Arabidopsis thaliana: one gene and its partners. The protein of the gene in region 1 interacts with the protein of each later gene in a pairwise test. Each region holds a gene or a part of one and is shown on either strand. Other genes may lie near its edges. The genes, in order: AT1G33100, FEI1 and ELIP2.

Region 1 (8,781 bases):
TTTATAATATATGATTTTGGAGTATTTTTCGAATATATGTTATTTCATGAAACTACAATGTAACTGTCTCAACATTGGTTATAACTATTAATCTAATGCAGTTAGGTATGGCCAGTGCACTAGGAACATTATGTGGTCAAGCCTACGGAGCCAAACAATACCATATGCTCGGGATTCACCTCCAAAGGTCATGGATCGTCCTTACAGGTTGTACCATTTGCATCATGCCCATCTTCATCTTTTCAGGCCCGATCCTCTTAGCCTTAGGTCAAGAGGACCACATTGTTCGTGTGGCTCGGGTCATAGCCCTATGGCTCATAGCCATCAACTTCACCTTCGTACCCGCCTTCACTTGCCAAATATTCCTCCAATCTCAGAGCAAGAACAAGATCATCGCCTACGTGTCTGCTGTAACCTTAGGGCTCCATGTTTTCTTCTCGTGGCTCCTAGTGGTTCATTTCAATTTCGGGATCACTGGTGCAATGACCTCTACGCTAGTTGCGTTCTGGATGCCTAACATTGTGCAGCTCTTGTATGTCACATCCGGTGGGTGTAAGGATACATGGAGAGGATTCACTATGTTGGCCTTCAAAGATTTATGGCCCGTCTTCAAACTATCTTTGTCTTCCGGTGGAATGGTTTGGTAAGGTTTCCTAAAAGCTTATGGAATCTAAAAGCTCTGCAAACAATATAAATATCAATTAGTGATACTTTTACACTGAGAATCTGATCCGACCGTTACAGTTACGCATATATATTATACACTGAATATTTTATTATAATTCATGTTACTTTTCTTTTGTTATATGTTTGATTTTTTCTTGTTAATTTACTTTACTTTTTTTAATTTATGATTATTACTTGGTGGTCGTTATTTTTTACAGCTTGGAGTTATGGTACAACTCGATATTAGTATTGCTCACTGGGAATTTGAAAAACGCAGAGGTGGCGATTGATGCACTAGCAATCTGGTAAATAAACAAGAATTGACCTTATATCTCTTCTGGTTTCCATACTACACATTTTCTTTATACTAACTCGACTCTTAAGTTAAAATATGGTATGAGTATAAATAGAGTAACATACAAATTATAATATTTTACAAATCGACTAATCTTTTCCATTTCTTTTTTGCAGCATCAACGTAAATGCACTGCAGATGATGATAGCACTTGGGTTTTTGGCAGCAGTAAGGTGCATTGATATATATACTATACACAGATACACTTCACTTCACTGATACTAATTATATCTTATCTTTTTTTTTCTTGGTATGATCTTAATATTATTTATATATCACTCTTCTATGTAATTATCTCTATATATAGTGTAAGAGTGTCCAACGAGCTCGGTAGGGGAAACCCCGAAGGCGCCAAATTTGCAACAATCGTAGCGGTTTTCACGTCACTCTCTATAGGATTAGTTCTATTCTTCGTCTTCTTGTTTCTAAGGGGAAGAATTTCGTACATTTTCACTACAAGTGAAGCTGTGGCAGCCGAAGTCGCTGATCTTTCTCCACTTTTAGCATTTTCCATCCTCTTGAACAGTGTTCAACCCGTTCTCTCAGGTATATACATTAGCTAGTTCAAGCGTGATGGTTATCATCGTATCGAATTCGAACTGATATTTGAAACGTAGTATATGCCTTTAATTGGTTTCAAACCTTATCAGGAGTGGCAGTGGGAGCGGGATGGCAAGGATATGTGGCTTACATTAACCTTGCTTGCTATTACCTTCTCGGAATTCCTGTTGGTCTTGTCCTTGGTTACGTTGTTGGTTTGCAAGTCAAAGTAAGTTTTTCTCTTTATATATTTTTTCTTCATAATGAACAAAAGTAATAAAATTAACAATTGAAAACAACATAAAACTTTACTTATCTTTTTTTGAAGGGTGTATGGATAGGAATGCTTTTTGGAATATTTGTTCAGACTTGTGTGCTTACCATCATGACTCTCAGAACAGATTGGGATCAACAGGTTTAAATAAACAAAATTGTAGTTTCCCCTTCCAAAATAATTAGTTTGTTCAAGCAAGCTATGTTATTGGTTTGGAGCTTAATTATATTGTTTGTTGCCACTTTTTTCTGTAGGTATCTACGTCGTTGAAAAATATAAACCGGTGGGTTGTACCAGAATCTAGAGATGCAAATCAAATTTCATCAGAGGAATAATTCGTTTGGATTATGATATGAACAAAGATATTATATAATTATGATGTTATTTTGGGCAATAGTTCTTTCTAACTCAGATTTTCAATATGAAATAAATTTTGATGGTAATTTATTAGGCTTTTTGTTGTTGTTGTTGTTGTTGTGGTACAATGAAAAAAGAGAGTACAATCTATATAATTTATTATAATCAAAGAAGAGGATAACTAAAATTTATTAATGAGCTATTTAAAAGATAAAATCCCTTTTAGTTCTTTAATTTCACCAACATGTTAACTCATAGTAAAATTAAACTTTGGTAGAATTTTGAGATATACTAGTTATTGAAATAGTGCGAATTAGGGTATGACCAATAAAAAGAAGAGAGTACCTTTGGAATTTTGGGGAAATTTGTGTGCTTACTACTATGATGACACTAAAAGAGATTAAAATAATCATGTTTTATAAACTGATTACCATTTAAAAAAAATGAAATTTCTTCGTTTATCATAGGAAAAGTACAAACATGTTTAAAGAAATTATATTGGTAATTATTTTTAAAAGATCTTCGTGGCTAAAACGTTAAATTGATTGATTCATTTTGACAAAGAAAAATAAACGTTTGATTCTGGAAATCCTCATAATAAATATATACGACAATCTTAATTCACTAAAAATTGTAATTGCTTACGTTGCTTAGAACAAGAATTTGACTATTGTAGTTTGATATGCTCGTTTCTTGATTTTTTTTTTATATTTTTATTTTTTTTAAATGGGTTTATTATGCAACACATAGACACGAGACTCACGACCAAGAAATATGTATATGAATAATTATATTTTTGATAAAAATATTTTGTTTTATTCCAATATACTTTCCAAACACACACTTTTTAAGCATATATAAAGATAAAGTTTAGATATGAATTATAGATAATTGCATTTAAACAAATGATCGATGAATGCACGATCTTAGGTGATCTTAAAATGCATCTATTTCTTAGAGTATTTTCATCACTTAGTCACTCACTGCTACAAAAGGCGTTGACGACCTTTTGTTTCCCAGCTGAAATATAAAAAAAATTGCTTCTTAAACTCAAACTCTCTGCTCTCTCTTTCTTCTATTTATTTCCTCCTATCAGATAAAAACACATAGACTCCACGATGGCCGGAAGAGGAGGAGAGCTCACGGAGGCTCTGGTGAAAAAGACCGGCAGAGAAGAAGAGGATGAGTTGGGGATGAAGGAGAAGGTTTGGATTGAATCAAAGAAACTGTGGGTTGTGGCGGCGCCAGCGATCTTCACAAGATACTCTACGTTCGGAGTTTCAATGGTAACTCAAGCTTTCATTGGCCATCTTGGCCCAACCGAGTTGGCCGCTTACTCTATCACCTTCACCATTCTCCTCCGTTTCAGTAATGGTATCTTGGTGAGTTTACTATAGCGATCTTGGTAATGGTATACGTAGCTTCATTTATATCAATTTTTCCAATTTTATTTAATCTAATGAATCCCTTGATTACTATGGATTCTTCTCCGCTTCAGTAATGGTATCGTGGTGGTGAGTACTACTTCAATTTTTATTTAATCTAATCTCTTGATTATTAGTGATTAAGAAATAACTATATTACAAGGTCAGACCATGTAGGTGAAAATTAAAAAAAAAAAACATGTAGGTGAATTTATGCTATAACTAAGTTGCATGGAAACGGAAACAGAAACGCGGATGCGAAACGTTTCAGAAACGGGAATCAATTTTTTATTAAAATTAGAGATTAGAAACGTTTTAAAAACATATAAATATATATATATATATACATAAAACTATATTAAATAAAAAATGATTTAAACAATATAAGTCTAAACTATCAATATTAAATAAGCTAACTAAAATTCTAAAAGATAAAGATTAAAATTTAAAAGATTCAAATTTTAATATCTAATTTAGACCAACATTTTTATTCTTATTTTCATTAGTTTCATCAAAGATAATATAAAACTCTCTTCAAATCTGGTTTATCAAGAAAAAAATCTTAAAACTAAGAGTTTTCCAAAATTAGTTATATGTATTAATAATCTTAATATTTCCAATTTTAGTTATTAAATTTTCAAAGTCAATAAAAAATATTTGTCGTATGTCTATTTCAAAAACGCGAGTTTTCATCGTGTTTCCAAACATGGATTTTTAGGAAACGCGTTTCCGTAATAATTTTTGCGTTTCCGAAACGTTTTCAAAATAAGTTAGACCAAAACTATATTATAAAATTTGGTCTCACTTATTTGAATTTTTAATACAGATTAGGTGGTCGTGTGAAGAAACTATTATCAAACTCAATTAAAATTTGTATAAGTTTATATGGTTTTGGAGTATTTTTTGGATATGTAATTCCGGTTAACATTTATTTTGAAACTACACAATGCAAAACTACAGCTGTCTCAAATTTGGTTATAACTATTGTTCTACTGCAGTTAGGTATGGCCGGTGCACTAGGAACATTATGTGGTCAAGCCTACGGAGCCAAACAATACCAGATGCTCGGGATCTACCTCCAAAGGTCATGGATCGTCCTCACAGGTGGTACCATTTGCCTCATGCCCGTCTTCATCTTTGCGGGCCCTATCCTCTTAGCTTTAGGTCAAGAGGAACGCATTGTTCGTGTGGCTCGGGTCTTAGCCCTATGGGTCATAGGCATCAACTTCTCCTTCGTGCCCTCCTTCACTTGCCAAATGTTTCTCCAAGCTCAGAGCAAGAACAAGATTATTTCCTACGTGACTGCTGTCTCCTTAGGGCTCCATGTCTTCTTCTCGTGGCTCCTAGTGGCTCATTTCAATTTTGGGATCACTGGTGCGATGACCTCTATGCTAATTGCGTTCTGGTTGCCTATCATTGTGCAGCTCTTGTATGTAACATGTGGTGGATGTAAGGATACATGGAGAGGATTCTCTATGTTGGCCTTCAAAGATTTGTGGCCCGTCTTAAAACTATCTTTGTCTTCCGGTGGAATGCTTTGGTAAGGTTTCCTATTTTTGTTTTGTGTTTTGAACACTTAATTAAGGAATTAGCTAGTAGTGGATCAACCAAATGTTTTCATACTGATAGCTTTAGTTTTCATTGTCATTGTTGGTCAAAACAAGAGATTGGTTCCACTTGATGCATATACTTAGTCCATGTATTAGTTTTCAGGCTGTAAACTATATAATATAATTATCAATCTTGTAGGATTTGATCCGACTGTTACATTTACGCATATACTCCTGAGAATGTTAGGAGTATATTATACACACTTTTAGGAGTATATTTTTTTTTTGGTGAATTACTTTTAGGAGTATATTATATTCACTGATAATTTAATGATAGTTCTAGTTACTTTTTTCTTTTGTTTTTTTTTTTCTTTCTAATTTACTTATCTTTTTAAAAATTGATGATGATTACTTTGTGGTCGTTATTTTTTACAGCTTGGAGTTATGGTACAACTCGGTATTGGTATTGCTCACTGGAAATTTGAAAAACGCAGAGGTGGCTCTTGATGCACTAGCAATCTGGTAAATAAACAAGAATTGACCTTCTATATCTATTCTGATCTCCATACAAAACATTGAAACATAAATACATTTTCTTTAGTACTAACTTGACTCATAAGTTATAGTATTGTATGAGTAATGGTACATACAAATAATATATTATAAATCGACTAATCTTTTCCATTTATCTTCGCAGCATCAGCATAAATGCACTGGAGATGATGATAGCACTTGGGTTTTTGGCAGCAGTAAGGTGCATTGATACATATATAGATTATATACAACACACTTCACTTTATTGATACTATTTCTATATTATCTTTTTTTCTTGGTATGATCTTTTATTTATATATCATCTTATTTGTAATTATCTATATAAATAGTGTAAGAGTGTCCAACGAGCTCGGTAGTGGAAACCCCAAAGGAGCCAAGTTTGCAACATTGATAGCGGTTTTCACGTCACTCTCTATAGGAATAGTTCTATTCTTCGTTTTTTTGTTTTTGAGGGGAAGAATTTCCTACATTTTCACTACAAGTGAAGCTGTCGCGGCCGAAGTTGCTGATCTTTCTCCACTTTTAGCATTTTCCATCCTCTTGAACAGTGTTCAACCTGTTCTCTCTGGTATATATTTTAGCTAGTTGACGCGTAATGGTTATTATAGTATCGGATTCGAACCAATATTTGGAGTAGTATTTATCTATAATTGGTTTAAAACCTTAACAGGAGTGGCAATCGGAGCGGGATGGCAAGGATATGTGGCTTACGTTAACCTTGCTTGCTATTACCTTGTCGGAATTCCTATTGGTGTTATCCTTGGTTATGTTGTTGGTTTGCAAGTGAAAGTAAGTTTTTCAGTTTATATATTTTTCTTTTATGTTGAAAAGTAATAAAACTAACATAAAACTTTACTTCTTTAATTTTGAAGGGTGTATGGATAGGAATGCTTTTTGGAATATTCGTTCAGACTTGTGTGCTCACCGTCATGACTCTCAGAACAGATTGGGATCAACAGGTCAGAAGTTGATTACTATATAATATTCCCTGAATTAATTTGTTTAAGAAAAAAAATTGTAGTTTCTCCTTCCAAAATAATAAGTTTGTTCCTTAGCAAAAATAATAATTAGTTTGTTCAAGCAAGCTATGTTCTTGGATTGCAGCTTATACTGTTTGTTGCCACTTTTTTGTAGGTATCTACGTCGTTGAGAAATATAAACCGGTGGGTTGTACCAGAATCTAGAGATGCAAATCAAATTTCATCAGAGGAATAATTAATTTGGATTATGATATGAAGATATGATAGATTTAAAGATTATGATGATGTTCCTTTTTTATGAAATGTGAAAAAAAAAATTGATAAAAAATAAAGGTTGTTTACAGAAGTTTTTAAGGAGCTTGTGAATTACACAAAAACAAGAGCATACAAAGAAAAAACAGACCTTCACGTTACGGTCCATTAAATCTTGAACTGAACCACCGTAGCAACAGCCCTCTTAGCTTCCAATTTTCGTAGTACCTCAAAGACATGATTTAGCTTAGAGATTTTTATCTGAATATAATCAGCTTAGTGTTGAATTTGAGTTATATATACTCTTTTTCTCTCGGTGTTCTATTGTATTATGTCATTATGTGTGTAGAACTAGAATCGTCTCCTTTGCCCGTAAACATAGCCAAAATATTGTTAGTACCAAGAAACGTAAATTTGGCCATGCATATATATATAATTTACTCCATTTGTTACTACAGTTTTTTGGATTTGTTTGGTGACTTTAAAAATGTTTTCATGTTCGTGACCTCATGATGATGATTGATCGATTGTGAAAAAAGGACAGCTTTTGTAAGGAAATACCGATCTAATACTACAGTGACGCGACTGCTTACGTAGACTTCTTTGCCTCCTCTTGTCGTAGCTTTGTTTTGTTTTTTTCCTTTAACAAATCCTTATTCACAACCACAAACCCCTTTGTTGTTCATATGATCATATAAAATAGAAATATGCATACATTTCTTTTTTATCTTTAAATGTCATTTGCAGATTTATATCTATTTTTTTCTACAATTATTTATTAAAATTTAAATGCCAAATTGGTATCAACCACTAATTTGGGTTTAAAAACAAATACATATCTTTGTTGGATCAGAAGAATAGTTGTGGTATTGAACCGTTGGATTGAACCAGAATGTAAAGATTAAACGAGACTTCACAAACAGAACAAATAATATTTGTTCGGGAGAATTCTCTAATCTATATAACAATATCTTAAATAATTTAATTTCTTAAGTCTTTCTACCAATTTTTTTTTTTACAACCATATTTCATTAAGAAAGTTCAAAGGACTACTACAGAGGGAAGCCCAATTACTACAATGAAAATACAACCTAAGTTTTAAGAAAACCTAGATGCTGACACGTGTTGAAGTCTTCTGCTTCATCAAGCCACGCATCAGTTGATCGAGCGCTGCCGTGTTTTTCTCGCCAAACATCACCGCCTTAGATCAGCCACCGTCGATCCGTCGTGGAGCGATGGGTGGTTGCCTCCTGTCTGACGATCTCGAACCCAAGCCGTAAACGCCGAGAACCTCCAGATCTATCATATGGTATGCTTCAAGAGTTCTCCGAGCAAATCCAACTCCTGGGAAGTTCCATCACAGACAACACCTTTACTGATGCAGTCGAAACATTGCTCCAAATTCACGAACAAAGAAAGATAATGAAGATATTACTCCTCGAGATGATTGGGAGGATCGGATGAACCTCGAGGGGCAGTTGGACAAGAGATTAGTCTCGCCGTCGCGAGAAAACAAAAACCGGACTACTCTAGTAGACTGACATCCGACTAGAAGTCGAAAACTTATTTAAATCTAATATAAATCTATATCTACTAAATCAACAGTCACTTTATCACAAACTGCAACATTCTCCTGTTTACACGTAAGCAAAGTCTTAATTTATTGAGTTTTGATTTTTCTGAAGCGTAAAACAATAATTCTTTTCTCATTAACATAAATTATTAAAGAGATTTAATCCATAATTTATTTCTTTCTTTCTCGCCATCTTCATCACTATCTTCCCCATTCCCCATATCTTGCAACAGTTATTGCTAATTTATGTTGTTT
Region 2 (9,245 bases), 750 kb from region 1:
TATGTATCTAATTCACTCATGGGAATGTATGCTTCATTGGGTAAGATAGAGATCACACATAAAGTGTTCGATGAAATGCCTCAACGAGATGTTGTTTCTTGGAATGGGTTGATTTCTAGTTATGTTGGTAATGGGAGGTTTGAGGATGCCATTGGTGTGTTTAAGCGGATGAGTCAGGAGAGCAATTTGAAGTTTGATGAAGGTACAATTGTGAGCACTCTTTCGGCTTGTTCGGCTTTGAAGAATCTTGAAATTGGTGAAAGGATTTATAGGTTTGTTGTTACAGAATTTGAAATGAGTGTTAGGATTGGGAATGCGTTGGTGGATATGTTCTGTAAATGTGGGTGTCTCGATAAGGCTAGAGCGGTTTTCGATTCGATGAGAGACAAGAATGTTAAGTGTTGGACTAGTATGGTTTTTGGGTATGTTAGTACTGGTAGGATTGATGAGGCTAGAGTTTTGTTTGAGAGAAGTCCTGTAAAGGATGTTGTTTTGTGGACAGCTATGATGAATGGGTATGTTCAGTTTAACCGGTTTGATGAGGCATTGGAACTGTTCAGGTGCATGCAAACTGCGGGAATTAGGCCGGATAATTTCGTGCTAGTCTCTCTCTTGACAGGTTGCGCGCAAACGGGAGCTTTAGAGCAAGGAAAATGGATTCATGGGTACATAAATGAGAACAGGGTTACAGTAGATAAAGTAGTTGGTACTGCTCTTGTAGACATGTATGCAAAATGTGGATGCATTGAGACAGCTCTAGAGGTTTTCTATGAAATAAAGGAGAGAGACACAGCTTCGTGGACATCACTTATCTACGGTCTTGCGATGAACGGGATGTCAGGAAGAGCGCTGGACTTGTATTACGAAATGGAAAATGTTGGTGTTAGACTAGACGCTATAACATTTGTCGCGGTTTTAACAGCTTGCAATCATGGTGGATTTGTAGCAGAAGGCCGTAAGATTTTCCATTCGATGACCGAAAGACATAACGTCCAGCCTAAATCAGAGCACTGCAGCTGTCTGATTGACCTACTATGCAGAGCTGGTTTGTTAGATGAAGCAGAGGAATTGATAGATAAGATGCGTGGTGAAAGCGATGAAACTCTAGTTCCTGTATACTGTTCTTTACTTAGTGCTGCTAGGAACTATGGGAATGTAAAAATAGCAGAACGGGTAGCGGAAAAGCTTGAGAAAGTGGAAGTAAGTGATTCCAGTGCTCATACTCTGCTTGCAAGTGTATATGCATCTGCTAATAGATGGGAAGATGTAACTAATGTGAGAAGGAAAATGAAAGATTTGGGAATCAGAAAGTTTCCTGGTTGCAGCTCCATCGAGATTGATGGGGTTGGTCATGAGTTTATTGTTGGAGATGATCTATTATCACACCCAAAAATGGATGAGATCAACTCAATGCTGCATCAAACGACAAATTTGATGTTGGATTTGGAACATAAAGAAATTGATAGCTGAAACTTTCTTGTACATTCTCTAACTACTTCCCTTATCATTAACATTTGTTTCCCTGCTAATGAACCGGTTTTGAATCGATGTTGGTTTTGAATCGATATCAGCTTCTCTGTAACTGAATCAGGATTGATTGAGACTGAAGAAGAAGAAGATGAAGGAACATGGATTATTTCAAAAGAACATAAAGGCAGAGAGTAGTTTTTCTACAAAGGTCACAACTATACAATTCAATTTCATGTTCAAATAAAAGTTTTTATACCAAAAATCAGAACAAAAAGAGAAAGGGCTGAAAATGAATGGCTCGAATCTGGTAAAACTGGAGGGGCAAAGTAAATGGCAACACAACACAAAGACTCTGTTCCATTAACTGGAAAATTATGGCTCTTCGTTGGTATTTGCAGGTTTTCTCGGGGAGCAAAAACGGAAATCGAATAGCATTTGAAGGCTTTCCCCGGGAAACCGGACTCGGTTTACTTTTTTTCTCGAGGTTTCGACTGGTGGGTTTATGCAATTAATCAGAGCTGGAATCATAAAATTCGCTGGGACAAGGAGTCATGACCTCTGATTCAAGTAACTGGACAACCCGATGCATCGTTGGACGCTCTTCTGGACTCGGAGACACACACTGTGTTGCTATTGATAGTAGAGCGTCAAGGCTCTCCATCTGCATTCCTTCACAGTTTGGATCAACAATATCCCTTGGCCGTTTTTCGCTGATTAAGAACTTTAGCTGTAAATCATGAGTCAAAAGCTTTTTTAGTCAAGTTTGTCGTAACAAAATATCAGTATTGAAAAAGAATCTTATTTGCATACCCAACCAACAACGTTAAGGCCTTTCTCGATGAAGGAAGCATCGGTTGGTCTTTTCCCACTCAAGACTTCAAGAACCAAAACCCCAAAACTGTATACATCGGTTTTCTCAGTTGCTCTACCACTTTGCATATATTCTGTCAAATGGAAAAGTCTCAGCATTTGAAAGATCAAATCTTTATGTAAGTAAAGACTTTTAAAAGGCATATGTACCTGGAGCTAGGTACCCAAATGTGCCTGCAACAATGGTTGTGATATGAGATTCTTCGTCTTCCAACAACTTGGCTAGACCAAAATCCGATACCCGTGCCTCGAGATTGCCATCAAGCAAAATGTTGCTCGACTTTATATCACGATGTATAATCCGAGGAGAACAATCATGATGCAAATATGATAACCCTTTCGCAGCTCCTATGATGATATTTACGCGTGAATCCCAGTCCAATTGCTCGCCTCTCTCTACTAATTCAAGAACCAAACTTCTCAGTGAATCATTCATAATATGGAAGAGAGCCATAAAGAGCAGATTGATCATACCATGAAGTGCTTCATCAAGGCTACCACCGGGCAAGTAATCATATAACAGTAGCTTTGATGTTGGTGAATTGCAATATCCACGTAGATTCACGAGGTATCGGTGTTTGATGCTCCCAAGAATCTCAAGCTCCCGCTCAAAAAACCGATCAAACCCTTCGTTTAACTTTAGAATTCTCTTCAATGCAAAGACTTTGCCATCATCCATGGCCAGCTTATACACCGTTCCAAAGCCTCCACATCCAATTATGTGCTCTTCATTCAACATTTCCAGCTTCTTAATGATATCTTTGGAAGAGTAAGGTAAATCTCCGTGGAACATCACAATAGACGCACCTGAATTGAAAAAGTCACAATGAAGATTTAGGAGATAGAGAAAAATATGAAATTTCCCAATATTTAACGAGATAATATCTGTACAAAAAAAATCAATACGGCTCACCTCCACCAACATCCTTTGCAAGGCTTTTAATCTCGACTTTACCGAGCTTTTTATATAGAAAGCATCCCCAGAAACACATGAGTGCAACTAGGAGTAGCGCACCTACAGTTGCTGATGCGCTAATCAGCAGCTTACCAGAGTTTTTCTTTTGATTTTGACCTATAAAGTATAAGACACCAAATAAATATAACTTTACTGATAGAGAGCCACAACAAAACCTGTATATCACAAGAAATTCATAATTGCTTTTACCTGATTGAGAATGTGATGAAGGGTTTCCACTATCATCTTGGCACACGACATCAACATGCTTTCCACACAAGTTAAGATTTCCAATGAAGCTGTAGTAGTAACGCATCAGTTTGAGAATCATATAATTTCAGTCGCACTGATACAATCTAGCTAAATAGTTATGTGGTTCAAAAAATCATCTCGAATATAAGCGAAATATGAAAGATCAGCTGTATAAATGTAACTTTAGAGGATTGACAAAAAAAAAAAAAAAATGTAACTTTAGAGGCTTTATTTTTCTATCCCTACAAGAAGAAAAGGGTGTTTATTGTCTTACGAGTTCTTAGAAAATCCAGAGAGCACTCCGTCTGAAGGTATTTGCCCCACCAGGAAGTTGTTCGAGACATTGCTTCATAAGACAAACGAAACAGAAAGATTCACAGGACTGCAATATGATAAATTACAGCGGAAGTTAGAGATTAAGGTGCTCACAAGTTACTAAGCTTTTTTAACTGCCCAAGCGAAGCAGGGATAGGTCCACTGAGAGTGTTGCTTGACATGTCCCTTGAAAATAAAATAAAAAAGTCAAAAGTCAGTTTTAGTAGAGAAAAGAGAACAATCAATATGTGAATCTGAAGTAAACAATACATTATCATGCTTTTCAAATTGCTCACCAAGAGTTTAGGTATAACTAGTTCTGAATATAATGTGCATGAGAAGACATTATGCAGTCAACCATATGTTACCATGATCCTAGATGGTGATAGAAGTAAATGAAAACAAAAAACAAATAGATATTGCATACACTAAAAGAAGGATGCACTTGCAAGTACGTATAGGGAAGAGAAAAAAACATACAGCTTTTGAAGGCCAGGCAGGTCTCCCATTTCAGCTGGGATTGGTCCAGTGAAGTAGTTACTCTGCAAGTGACTGCAAAACCAGTTGGACAATTTTGATGACCATAAGCAACTGGAATTGGTCTCTCAGAAACCATGTGGAATCAGTATAAAATCCTGGAAAAGCGCTTACATTTCCTCCAATGCTGTGCAATTTCCCAATGCTGTAGGTATTGCTCCATATAAAGCATTGTTGTGAAGCATTCTGCAATGACACACAGATGATCAGAATCGAAGTACTCTCTTAAGCAATAAAAATGAATAAGGCTAGAGAGCACATACAAAAGCCTTAAATGGTCCAACTTTCCAATATCAGGAGGTAAAGGTCCCATTATTTTGTGATAAGTAAGATTCCTGCGAAACAAGAGTATTAGGGAGCACAAATACTGAAGAGAAAACCAGTAAACCTTGACAAGTTTGAAAACTTACAAGGTTATAACTCTTTTCGTTTTTGCATCACATGTCACTCCGTTCCAGTTACATGGATCTGGATCTTCCGGTCTCCACTGATGGATGAAACTATCTGATCTAGTAACTGCATTTCTGAAGCTCAGAAGCGCCTCGCCTGAAGAATGGAAACAAGCAATAAAGGATTAAAGCTCAATAAAAGGTCCAGGACGCTATGAATAGTAATAGTTGATTCATATCGACGTACCGTCAGGACTAATCGCTTGACTTTCATTAGATAGTGAGCAAAGCAACGAGATCAAAAGAAGCCATGAGCAGCAGCTTTTCATCTCACAGATGCCCATCATGGCACTGTCCAAGCATAATATAACTACTACCAATCATTTGAAAAGAACAGCCTCTTGGTTGTCAGTTATTAGTTGATTCCATGTCTATGTTCAAGTAAGAAACTAGACTCCTGAAAAACAAAGGAAAGCCCACAAAACTAATTGTCAATTACACTACACATTAAGCTCAGTCTCCACACAACTTATGCATGCTCTCATCTACATTTTGAGTACTCAAAACAGTGAAATTGCCTCACAAGAACCAATACACACTTTCCAATTGCTAAAATCAGAAAACGAGAGCTAAATTCGGCCAACAATCTCAAAATCATCATCAACAAAAGAGCTCAAAAACAGCTCTAGCTTAACATAGATTACGAAATTCCCAGATACCATCCAATCCTATAACACAATAACAACTGAAGATTCGAACAATATAACAAATCCAAAAAACGATTCAGCAAAAGACCCAAAACCCCACTCTTTCCAACAATATCAAAGGTTATAGCTTTAAAAGCAAACAGAATTAGTAAGAATTATAAGAACCTCTAAAAATGGATCCGAGAGGAGGAAGAATTGAGACAGAGGAAGAAGAAGATGACTAATTTGAGCTGTAAAGCAAAAAAAAAAAAATATAACTTAAGGAGAAGATAAAAAAAACAAAAAAGGAATCGACTTTTTATTTTGTTTGTGTGATTTATGGTAAGAGTGAAGAGAGAGAAAACTAGAGTGAGAGAGAGAGAGTGTGTGAAGAAGAAGAAGATGCTTTCTTCTCCAAAGCATACGACCAATGAGAAGAAACGAAGTGGGTCTCGCACGTGCCGATCTTGACCTCCCACACGTGTCAACCGACGCTTTCTTCATAAAACCCAATTATTATTGCCAGCTAGACCTTAGCTAAGCCTAATCTCTACAATGGTCGAAATCATTGGGCCCATTTTTAAGGCCCATTACGGTATAAGCCCAGCGGTTTGATTGAACCGGTTTGAGATTAGAAGCCATTGTTGTCCGTTGTTTCACCATCGCGTTATATCGATGGCTACGGCGGCGATTATTTCCGTGAAACCGCCGGCGAGCTTCTACTGCGGAGGAAACCGACGCGACGGAGGAAGGGGAATCACCATTGCACGAGTTTCTCGAGACGAACGGTTTCATGAGAGGATCGTTGGTCTCTCTGCCTCGACCGTGTTGTTCATCGGTTTAAGTAGCCTCCGCGTCTGTTCTCCGGCCTCCGCTCGAATACTACCACCGCCGATTGTCGTTACAGAGAATGAAATCAACACAGAAACTGTAGCTGGTGCGTGAAATTGAACATTTTCGTCACTCTTGGGATTTCGATGGATTTGAATTTTGTGTTCCAATGGAATGTTTTTGCAGGTGAAGAGAATCTAAATGAAGTTGAAGATGAAGAAAAACTGGAAGCTGATTTCGAAGCGTACAAGTCTAAAGTGTATTCTCTTACTGTCCCGCTAAAACTCGTTGCCTTGCGTGGCTCAGTGCCACCATCATGGATCAAGGTTTTAGTTTCACTTGTCTGTGTTTCCATTTCTATTTTGAATCTTAAGCTTATAGTTGAAAATGTATGTTGTTGGATTCTGTGAATGGAATTTAGGAGTTTATGAGCTCACAAGGGAAGAGAGTGAGGTTAAAGACTCAGTTTCGAGGAAATCTTGAAGAGATCTTTTTCGATCTATCGAAACCAAGTAAGAATGGAAAAAAGGGGGCTGCTTCAACTGCAGCAGCTGATATGATCAGCATTGGTGATTCTTGGCTTAGTTTTGCTATTAAGGAAAAGCTAATTGAGCCAATGAAAGGGATAGAAGATCAAGACTGGTATAAAGGCTTGAGTGATAAATGGAAGGTGAGAATTTAAATCAGTGGTTTAACAATATGAATATGAGTCTTTTTGAAAGAACACTAGCTTGAGAGATTTTAATAGGCATAATCTTTCATGTGTTTTGTTTTCGTACTCTGCTAGCTTGGGAATGTTCATAGGGTTCATTTCATGACTTAGAAAGTCTCAGATTTATCTCCGCAGGAACTATGCGGGAGAAAAAGCTCCTGACGGTGAAACGTGGGCTGTGCCATACCGCTGGGGCACCATGGTTATAGCATACAAAAAGAGCAAATTTCAGAATTATAAATTGGCACCGATAGAGGTTGGTATACTTTGTTGTTGCTAAATGCTGTCTTAGTGTTTTCCTATTTAAAAGAAGTGAATATCACTGAACATTTTGCTGAATTTAGGACTGGGCTGATCTGTGGCGACCCGAGCTTGCAGGAAGGATCGCAATGGTGAATTCTCCTAGAGAGGTTGTTGGTGCTGTTCTCAAATACATGAGAGCATCATACAATACGACAGACCTGGATTCACAAGTTCCTGGCGGAAGATTAGCAGTGGAGAAAAATCTGGCATCACTCATGAAACAGGTTATTACCTCTTTACTATCTCTCCATACCCTAAAGAGAACAGATGAGTTTAGGCTGACGTGTTTCACTCAACCTCTATAGTTATTGAGAAAAAATGACAATGGTGGCTGATCTTGTTTCCCCTTTTGCTTATAGATTAGACTATTTGATAGTAACAACTATTTAAAAGCTTTCAATGTCGGAGATGTCTGGGTCACTGTTGGTTGGAGCAGCGATGTTATCCCTGTCGCAAAACGTATGTCTAATGTTACAGTGATTGTTCCCAAATCCGGTGCCACCTTATGGGCTGATCTATGGGTAAGTTACCGTCGTAAAATCACTTAACCCTTCATCTGATATCTTGAATGCTTCTTGTTCTAAAGACGATATAACATATCTGGACACTAAACCGTGAAGCATAATTGTTTTTCAAGGCGATCCCGGCTGTTTCTGACTCTGGTAAAGAAGCAGAACAAAGAGGAGGACGAGTCCGAGGCCCATCTCCATTAATCAACCAGTGGATAGAATTCTGCTTGCAACCTGCAAGATCGTTACCATTCACACGGGAAGTAATTCCTGGTGCATCTCCTTCAGCTCTTGATGGTCCTCTGGTTACAGAACCCGAAAAAACAAAGAAAGACAGAACAAAACTGGACACAAACCTGGTCACAGGTGTTCCTCCTCCGGAGATCTTGTCTAAGTGTGAGTTCTTGGAACCTTTACCAGAGGCTACGCTATCGGAATATCGGCTTCTGATTGAAACTGTAAGGAAGCAAAGCCAAAGACCTGGCCTTGTGGAGAAACTAAAGGACATTGTTTCAATTAAGGTTCGAGGATTTAGGGCAAAGCTTGACTCCGAGATGAATAAGAACATTTGAGAGACGGACAAAAGTGGAAATGGAATCATTTGTATGATTACATAGAGCAACTTCATGTTGGTTAACATAAGGGGTTTTCTATCTCCTTATAACAGAGTATCATGTCATGAAGAGCCAGAGGCTGATCGCCTTTGCTCATGTTACTAGTTAGTCGTTAGTTCAAACACTATAGATGCCAAAACAAGTGTATAAATTAAATTAAACTACACAAAACGCCTAATATAACCTAACATTATTTAATTTATTGGCCATCTAAGAGGTAAATATCATGTAAAACGGTGTTAATGAATGCTTTGTTTTGAAAATGAACAAGGGAAAGTTAAATGTTCTTTTTCTTGGGACTATCAGCCCAACAATGAGCTATGAAGAGCCGAAGCGTTTTCACATTCCTCAAGTTTTCGTAATCAACGCGAGTCACATTCAAACACGTATTATATGCTTTTAAAGTGAGTGACTCTGCGTTTTCTCGATTCTGTTTACTTATAAAAGTTGTTGTGTGATAATTTTCTCTATCAAGTATGGTAGTGTGACACTCGGTTCTAGGATTTAGTCTCTCTTCATCCTCTGGTATTTCTGTTTTGGTTTGGTTGCAAGGAGACTTCATTAAGATCAATGGCAGACCAATATGAAAAGAGGATAACATGGACGATTAAGAATTTCTCCTCTTTGCAATCTCATGCAATTTATTTTGATATTTTTGTAGTTGGGGACACCAAATGGTAAAAACTTGTTCTCTTATGTTTGCTAATGTTTGCGTTTCATTTTAGGTTTACTTGATATTACCCTTTGCTTATTGGTTTTTGGTTTATGCTTGTAGGCATCTTCTGGCCTATCCCAAGGGATA
Region 3 (6,066 bases), on another chromosome or scaffold:
GAAAGATATTTGAGGAGCTATCCTTATAACTAATACGTAAGATATAAGATTATGACAAGAACTTAACTAAACTTTCCAAGAACATCAAGTTGAATATGCTTAGATTGAATATGCAGAGATATGATTAATAAAGACATGTTATATTTTTAGTGTAAGAAATAAATTTTCTAAAATTTCACCGTCTCACAATCTATACATATAACTGAAAAAGCAAGGATATATAAATTCAAAAAAAAAACTGAGAATCTAAAACAACAATAAAAACAATTCAATCACATTCGTTTTTCAGATGAACTAATATAGTTGGGCTTTTCAAAAACAATTACAAATCATATTTATGTTTCAAAACCTATGCATTCAATTTTACTTTATATGAACAAACATTATATAAAATAATTTGTAAATAATACGTAAACCCGCACGTAGTGCGGGTACTCATCTAGTCATTGATAAAGAGGTAACATATTTTTAAGAGATATAGAGTTATTATTTTGATCTAATTACTGATTAATCTTACATAAACTCAACTATCAATCTTGTCCCAAATAATATAAAAATCTTTAGCAAGCATGTAACGTACCATTCACTATCTAACAAAAATCCAAACATTGGCATATGCTACTAGAGGTCCATTAACAAGACAGTACTAATGAACGAACATTTTCACATGTCAAATGTTTCATCTTTTTCATCATCATCATCCTTCAATTTCAACAGCAGCCTCTGCTTCAGATACATAATCATACCTAATATCAAAAAAAAAGTTAATAAGCATTTCATTGATGTATCAAAAGATAAAATCATACTATCATAGACAATCATCATAAAAATCGAGTTTAAAATAGCTTCGACTCTTTGTTTGCATTACATATTAAGCAAAATTTCCTTTGCTGATTGTAAACGCCAAACCAAACCTTTCTGATTGCGTTTAACTTAGCAAAAGAAATGTTTTATATAGTAAGCTGATGAATTTGTTATCTATGTTAAAACACAAGCAAAACAAAAAAGTGGGTTTGATTCTCACTTTATTTTGCGAGTAAGTTGGTATATCCCTGTAGCTGCCATAGCAACATTAACACTAAACAGGTTCCAGTTTTTCTGTTAAAAAAAAACAAAAGTCCAAAGAATCAGATCGATAAACCAAAACCAAGAATCCAATCACAAAAGTAAAACTCGAAAAGCAAACAAAACTTACAGGAGTAATTATAGTGCTGCAACGACACCAAATCATTCCAGTGCATGTCACAGCTAATACAATAATTATGGATAATATGTTTATAACAATAATTGTAACAAGAAAGATTAGAGATTTCTGAAGAGTAGTAGTTATTTACCAATTTGCTGAAGGTACGAAATATTTTCTGGAGGTTTCTGGAAATCTGCAATGTTAGCAATGCTTATACCCCACTTAAATGTTGGAGCCCAGAAATGAACTGATTAATACCCAACAACAACAACAACAAAAAAAGAGAGAAACTGTTTACAATTAGAATATATTATTCATTAGAGGATTTAAAGTGATATAGATTTTTTTTTGTCAAGAACTGTACTATAAACAATTCAACATTTTCCAATAGTAACGTTTCAATAGAGTCTTAATTGAAACGGAAGAAGAAAGAGTAATATATTATTGATGAAACAATGTGATAACTCACTTGTCTTTGGTCCTGCCGGGTGATTCCAGAGAGCTTGAAGCTTAGACGTCGCCATCAACTTTTGTTTTCCTCGGAGATTCTCTTTTCTCTGTCTTGTTTCAGTCTCCTACATAAATATTAACGAAATGATGCTACTCAAAACGACGTCGTATAAGCAATATGTAATTGAGCCACTCAAATCTTTCCGATTATATTCATCGATCGTACTATCGTGTAGTGTTGTAGTGGCCAGATCTTTCCTCTTTTAAGTGTTTTTTTGTTTGTTCATCTTAATATATTTTTTTTTGTTCTTGGGAAGCATTGACGCTTTGATTGGGCTTTGATGAGACTAACCCATGGGCTTGAGAATTGAGATGAGGTGATTTGTTAGAGAGAAATCGCATTCAATTTCGTTTCGTCTTGGAACTTGCTTTACTTTCATTATGGCAGACACATGATGACTCTATTGGTCGATAATAACAAGGAAGAGCATAATTAATTATTCTTGGCTCTTGATTCATTTCAAAAGAATGCATAAACTCTCAAACCTTGGATAGAAGCTAAAATTTATTTTTTACTTCTTCTTCTCCATTCACATTATCTTATAAGAAAACTTTTGAAGTACTTTTTCAAATAAATTTTTATAATGTTTTTTTCATGGTTTTAAATTTTGATTCATGTTGACACACTGTTTAAAACTCATAGTATTAAATCAATCTATGCGTTACATAATCATTCTCCAAATTTGTCCTTAAACTAGCAAACAAAAAGCTTTAGCTTTAGACTAGAGTCCCACCAGTGACGTACTCGGTGAAGGCCAACGCAACGAGACCGAGCATCGCAAACCGACCGTTCCATAGCTCGGCGTCTGAAGTCATGAACCCTTTTGACTTTGCCTCTGCCCTTATTCCCTTGAACAACGGAACCATCGATGCCAACGTCAACAACGCTGTTGTTCCTAGAAACCACCCGACACCACCGTCAGAGATCTGAGCAAACACGTTTTCTCCCTTTGATAACTCCATGGCGATGGCCGCCACGAATCCAACCATTGCTAGTCTCCCGTTGATCCTCTCGGGTGCTGGACCGCTAAACGCTAGCAAATCTCCAAACTTCGTACTCACCTAGACAATAAGAAAATTATTCATTAGCTTCATTTTTTTAGCTAGTGATATATATTAATGACTTTGATCATTAGATCATACCTTAGGCTTGCTAACTGGTGGAGGAGGAGACTGTGGCATTTGTGGTGGAGTGGCCGAAGTCGAGGTCGAGGGCACAGAAGGATCTTCCTTGATAGGATCGCCCTAAAAAAATAGTCAATGTAAGGAACGGTCAGGATTAAAAGTCAAATAAGTAACGTAGGGAAGTGGAAGGACTATGAGGTTAGTGTATATATACCTGAGCCATGCATCTGACTCCTACCGGAGCAATCCTCTTGAAGAAGAGTTGGTTTGTGTTTCTGATGTTGCGTGTAGTCAATACACCGGAAGGAGCAGCGAACACTGACTGCATGTTAAACGACGCCGTTGCCATTTCTGATTAGGTTTTCTAAAAGCCGAAGATCGATGAAGAAGAGAGAAATGAATAAATTATAAGACTTGAGAAGTGAGATGGAGTTGGTTTGAGGTGTAACTGTAGGATTATCTCTTCATTTATAGAGTTGGTGAAGGAAAATGATAGGCCCAGTATTTTCTGGATTTTATTTATCTTTACTGATTTATGGGATACTATGATTACTTATTTTATTTTTGTTTTTGTGTGGTGTGTAGTAGAGTAATAAATAAGTAGAAAGAAATCTATCAAAGAAAAGAAAAAAACTGAATTCAAACTTTTTATTCCTTTTTTTTCTTTTTTCCACTTTAAACTTTTTTTTTCTTTTGGGGAAGAAAAAGTTTCCTCAGAATAAATGTTTTCAAACTTATGAGATTTTTTCCATATTTATTGTAACACCTAACAAATCAGTTGGTCATTCGTTTCATTATTTGTAAAACTACCATATTAAAATTATACAAATAAATCGAATTATTTTGCTCGAAATCGTTAAAAATGTGAAAAAAAAAGAAGAATATATCGATATTTGGGTTGAACGCTAAACACAAAAACACGTAGCCAATAAAATTTGAGAAATGAGAGGAAAGTGAGGTTGAGATCGGTGAGAGGCCACGTCTAGTTGGAAAAGTGCAAGTAAACTGATGGCGTGGCCTCCTCATTACACATAGATACACATCTTCCTTGTCTTTTTCTGATTGGTCATGGCCAAGTGGGTTTGGCAAAAACACGTACAAATTTTTTTTTTGTCTCAAAATGTTAATAACAAGTTAGTGGCTCACAATATTCACTTGGGACTTGGGAGATTCGTTTTTGGTATAGAGAGAAGTCGCATTCAATCTTGTTTCGCGCGTATTGGAACTTTCTTAACTTTCATCATGGCAGACCCATGATGACTCTTTTGATCCTTTATGTGTCCCATTCATGTCTTCGTGCCCAATTCTCCTACGTGCGCTGTTTTTTTTTCCAGATTAGAACGGTAAATAATAGCACAATTGTGAAGATATGGGCATAGTCTTCGTGTCGGTATAGTCTCCTTTTCTATTGTCTTTTGTGTGTGAGTTAATTTCTAAATTTGTAACAAGGAGAAGAGAAACCTCTATTAGTGCTTGTAATACTTTTTGCTTGATAGTGAAAAGTTGTGGGAGACAGTTCCCACCCGAGACGTACCGGTTAGAGGCCAGGAGGCAGGAACTCGGTGATCAAACTCTTGTGTCAATTTCTAGCTTAAGCAATCTAACGTTCCACACATATAGAAAACTCAACAACAATTATTTAGATATGAATGATCAGATTTGATGTACCACCATCGATATGTGCTCTCTGCGAAAACTCTTTATATATACTGAAAGAAAACATACACCCACATTGGTAGTTTTTTTTAATGGATTTTACTAGCAGAGGATAATAAATTTATCGCATATATTACTTACATTTGTAGTTTCAAATACGAAAAAACTTGACCATTAGTAGTGTGAAGTGTGTAATTGATACTTTTGAGTTCAGGACGAAAAAATGTTCACGTCATTCGTGAGGAAATAAGGCATTTAGACTCAAAAGTCCAAACATGTGAGAAGGTCCTCGAAAGGGCGAACAATAAAAAGCCCCGAAGCCCATAACACGAGTGCCTTCTTATCCCCATGAGTCTTCGAGTGGACAAAGAGAGAGAACAACTTTGGGAAATTTATAGTAGTTTGTGAAGACTTCATATAAAAATTGTATTTATGAGATTATTGTGTTTTAAGAGGAGAGACGACGAGGGTCATCATTCATTTAATTACTTTTAACATTATAATTAAGTTCTGATTTATCCGGTCGTTTATGTAATTTATTGATTATATACTTAGGTTATTTAGCCGGCCACAAGGCCAAGCAAGCAAAACATAAGCTTGCGGCCGCTAATCATATTATTATTTAGTTTTGGCCGAATTTGCATAAAAATGTAGTCTAATGGTTAAAGTTTCAGTATTTGAGTTACAAGTTCCTTAGTTCAAACTTTGACAATGTGTTAAACTAATTTTTTTTTAAACGACAGAATCACTAAATAAATAAATATTATGTGGCCCATTTTGTTTCTCTTATTGTAACCCCGTGAAACCCGGGGACGACTAGGTAACAAATACTCTTTGGGTTTTCTTATAAATCAAATGCATATCTTTGATAAACTAAACCATGAAAGAAGGAGTTTTTTTAACTGATGAATTGATGATTATTGAAGTTGATATAAGTTAGATTCAAGTTTTGATGTACTGTATTTGGAACAGAAATGTTATAATATCTTACTAAAGCCCAGTTCGGAACAAGGCCTTACCCTTATTTAAAGCCCCAGTAGATCTGTTTTGAATTGTCGCTATGAGTGAATGAGGATGGGTAGGTCGACCCTCAGAATTCTTAATTGGCACATGTTGAATGTGAGCCCAAAGCAGCCACCAATAAAGTGAATCAACTCCGTCATTTTCAATGCTTTTTCATGCAAGAGGAAACATTAAAATATCGTCGTTATTAGTATTAATTATGTTTTTGACCTGTAAAGAATGGACAAAACTTATACTAAACAAATTATTTCGCCGTCAAAAAGGAAACAAAAGTTCAGATATAAATTCCTGGTAGCTTCAGGTCAAGATAAAGTCAGGTCAAAGGTGATGAGCTCTATAATGAGTCCTCCAAATGTGATTTAAGTTTAAGAAATGAACACACTTTTCTTAAGCCGGCATTAGTTTTATGTTATTACCCCACAAATGATGATGATGATGTCGCATGGTCCTTCACGTGATTACAATATTAATTTGCCAAGTTGATATCGTCATGACTCATGAGCAAAGTGCTGGTCGAACATCGACGTATTCTTGGATAATGTTCGATTTTTGAACTGGTCCTAATT

Evidence for each region.
Region 2: the proteins of AT1G33100 (region 1) and FEI1 interact in a protein complementation assay, tested with the Arabidopsis thaliana proteins (one large-scale study listed by BioGRID).
Region 3: the proteins of AT1G33100 (region 1) and ELIP2 interact in a protein complementation assay, tested with the Arabidopsis thaliana proteins (one large-scale study listed by BioGRID).

Annotation. Positions count from the first base shown.
Region 1 is NC_003070.9:11,994,373-12,003,153, forward strand, and holds AT1G33100 (MATE efflux family protein), read left to right. Parts: upstream 1-3,127; 5' UTR 3,128-3,310; coding exon 3,311-3,574; intron 3,575-4,614; coding exon 4,615-5,156; intron 5,157-5,601; coding exon 5,602-5,688; intron 5,689-5,863; coding exon 5,864-5,920; intron 5,921-6,050; coding exon 6,051-6,289; intron 6,290-6,391; coding exon 6,392-6,510; intron 6,511-6,593; coding exon 6,594-6,680; intron 6,681-6,855; coding exon 6,856-6,936; 3' UTR 6,937-7,049; downstream 7,050-8,781. Other genes in the region: AT1G33090 (MATE efflux family protein), read left to right, coding at 102-643, 885-971, 1,138-1,194, 1,329-1,567, 1,672-1,790, 1,890-1,976, 2,090-2,170; AT1G33102 (uncharacterized protein), read right to left, coding at 8,161-8,259.
Region 2 is NC_003070.9:11,246,250-11,255,494, reverse strand, and holds FEI1 (Leucine-rich repeat protein kinase family protein), read right to left. Parts: upstream 5,878-9,245; 5' UTR 5,136-5,877; coding exon 5,036-5,135; intron 4,946-5,035; coding exon 4,810-4,945; intron 4,735-4,809; coding exon 4,663-4,734; intron 4,586-4,662; coding exon 4,514-4,585; intron 4,415-4,513; coding exon 4,343-4,414; intron 4,049-4,342; coding exon 3,977-4,048; intron 3,894-3,976; coding exon 3,822-3,893; intron 3,595-3,821; coding exon 3,506-3,594; intron 3,413-3,505; coding exon 3,254-3,412; intron 3,148-3,253; coding exon 2,815-3,147; intron 2,740-2,814; coding exon 2,491-2,739; intron 2,415-2,490; coding exon 2,281-2,414; intron 2,198-2,280; coding exon 1,979-2,197; 3' UTR 1,580-1,978; downstream 1-1,579. Other genes in the region: AT1G31430 (Pentatricopeptide repeat (PPR-like) superfamily protein), read left to right, coding at 1-1,470; AT1G31410 (putrescine-binding periplasmic protein-like protein), read left to right, coding at 6,150-6,411, 6,492-6,631, 6,727-6,975, 7,139-7,273, 7,362-7,544, 7,680-7,841, 7,958-8,401; AT1G31400 (TRAF-like family protein), read left to right, coding at 9,014-9,120, 9,219-9,245.
Region 3 is NC_003075.7:8,415,477-8,421,542, reverse strand, and holds ELIP2 (Chlorophyll A-B binding family protein), read right to left. Parts: upstream 3,302-6,066; 5' UTR 3,171-3,301; coding exon 3,036-3,170; intron 2,942-3,035; coding exon 2,840-2,941; intron 2,759-2,839; coding exon 2,414-2,758; 3' UTR 2,218-2,413; downstream 1-2,217. Other genes in the region: AT4G14695 (Uncharacterized protein family (UPF0041)), read right to left, coding at 698-746, 1,025-1,098, 1,196-1,248, 1,335-1,433, 1,656-1,710. UniProt on the Arabidopsis thaliana protein: Probably involved in the integration of pigments into the mature light-harvesting pigment-protein complexes.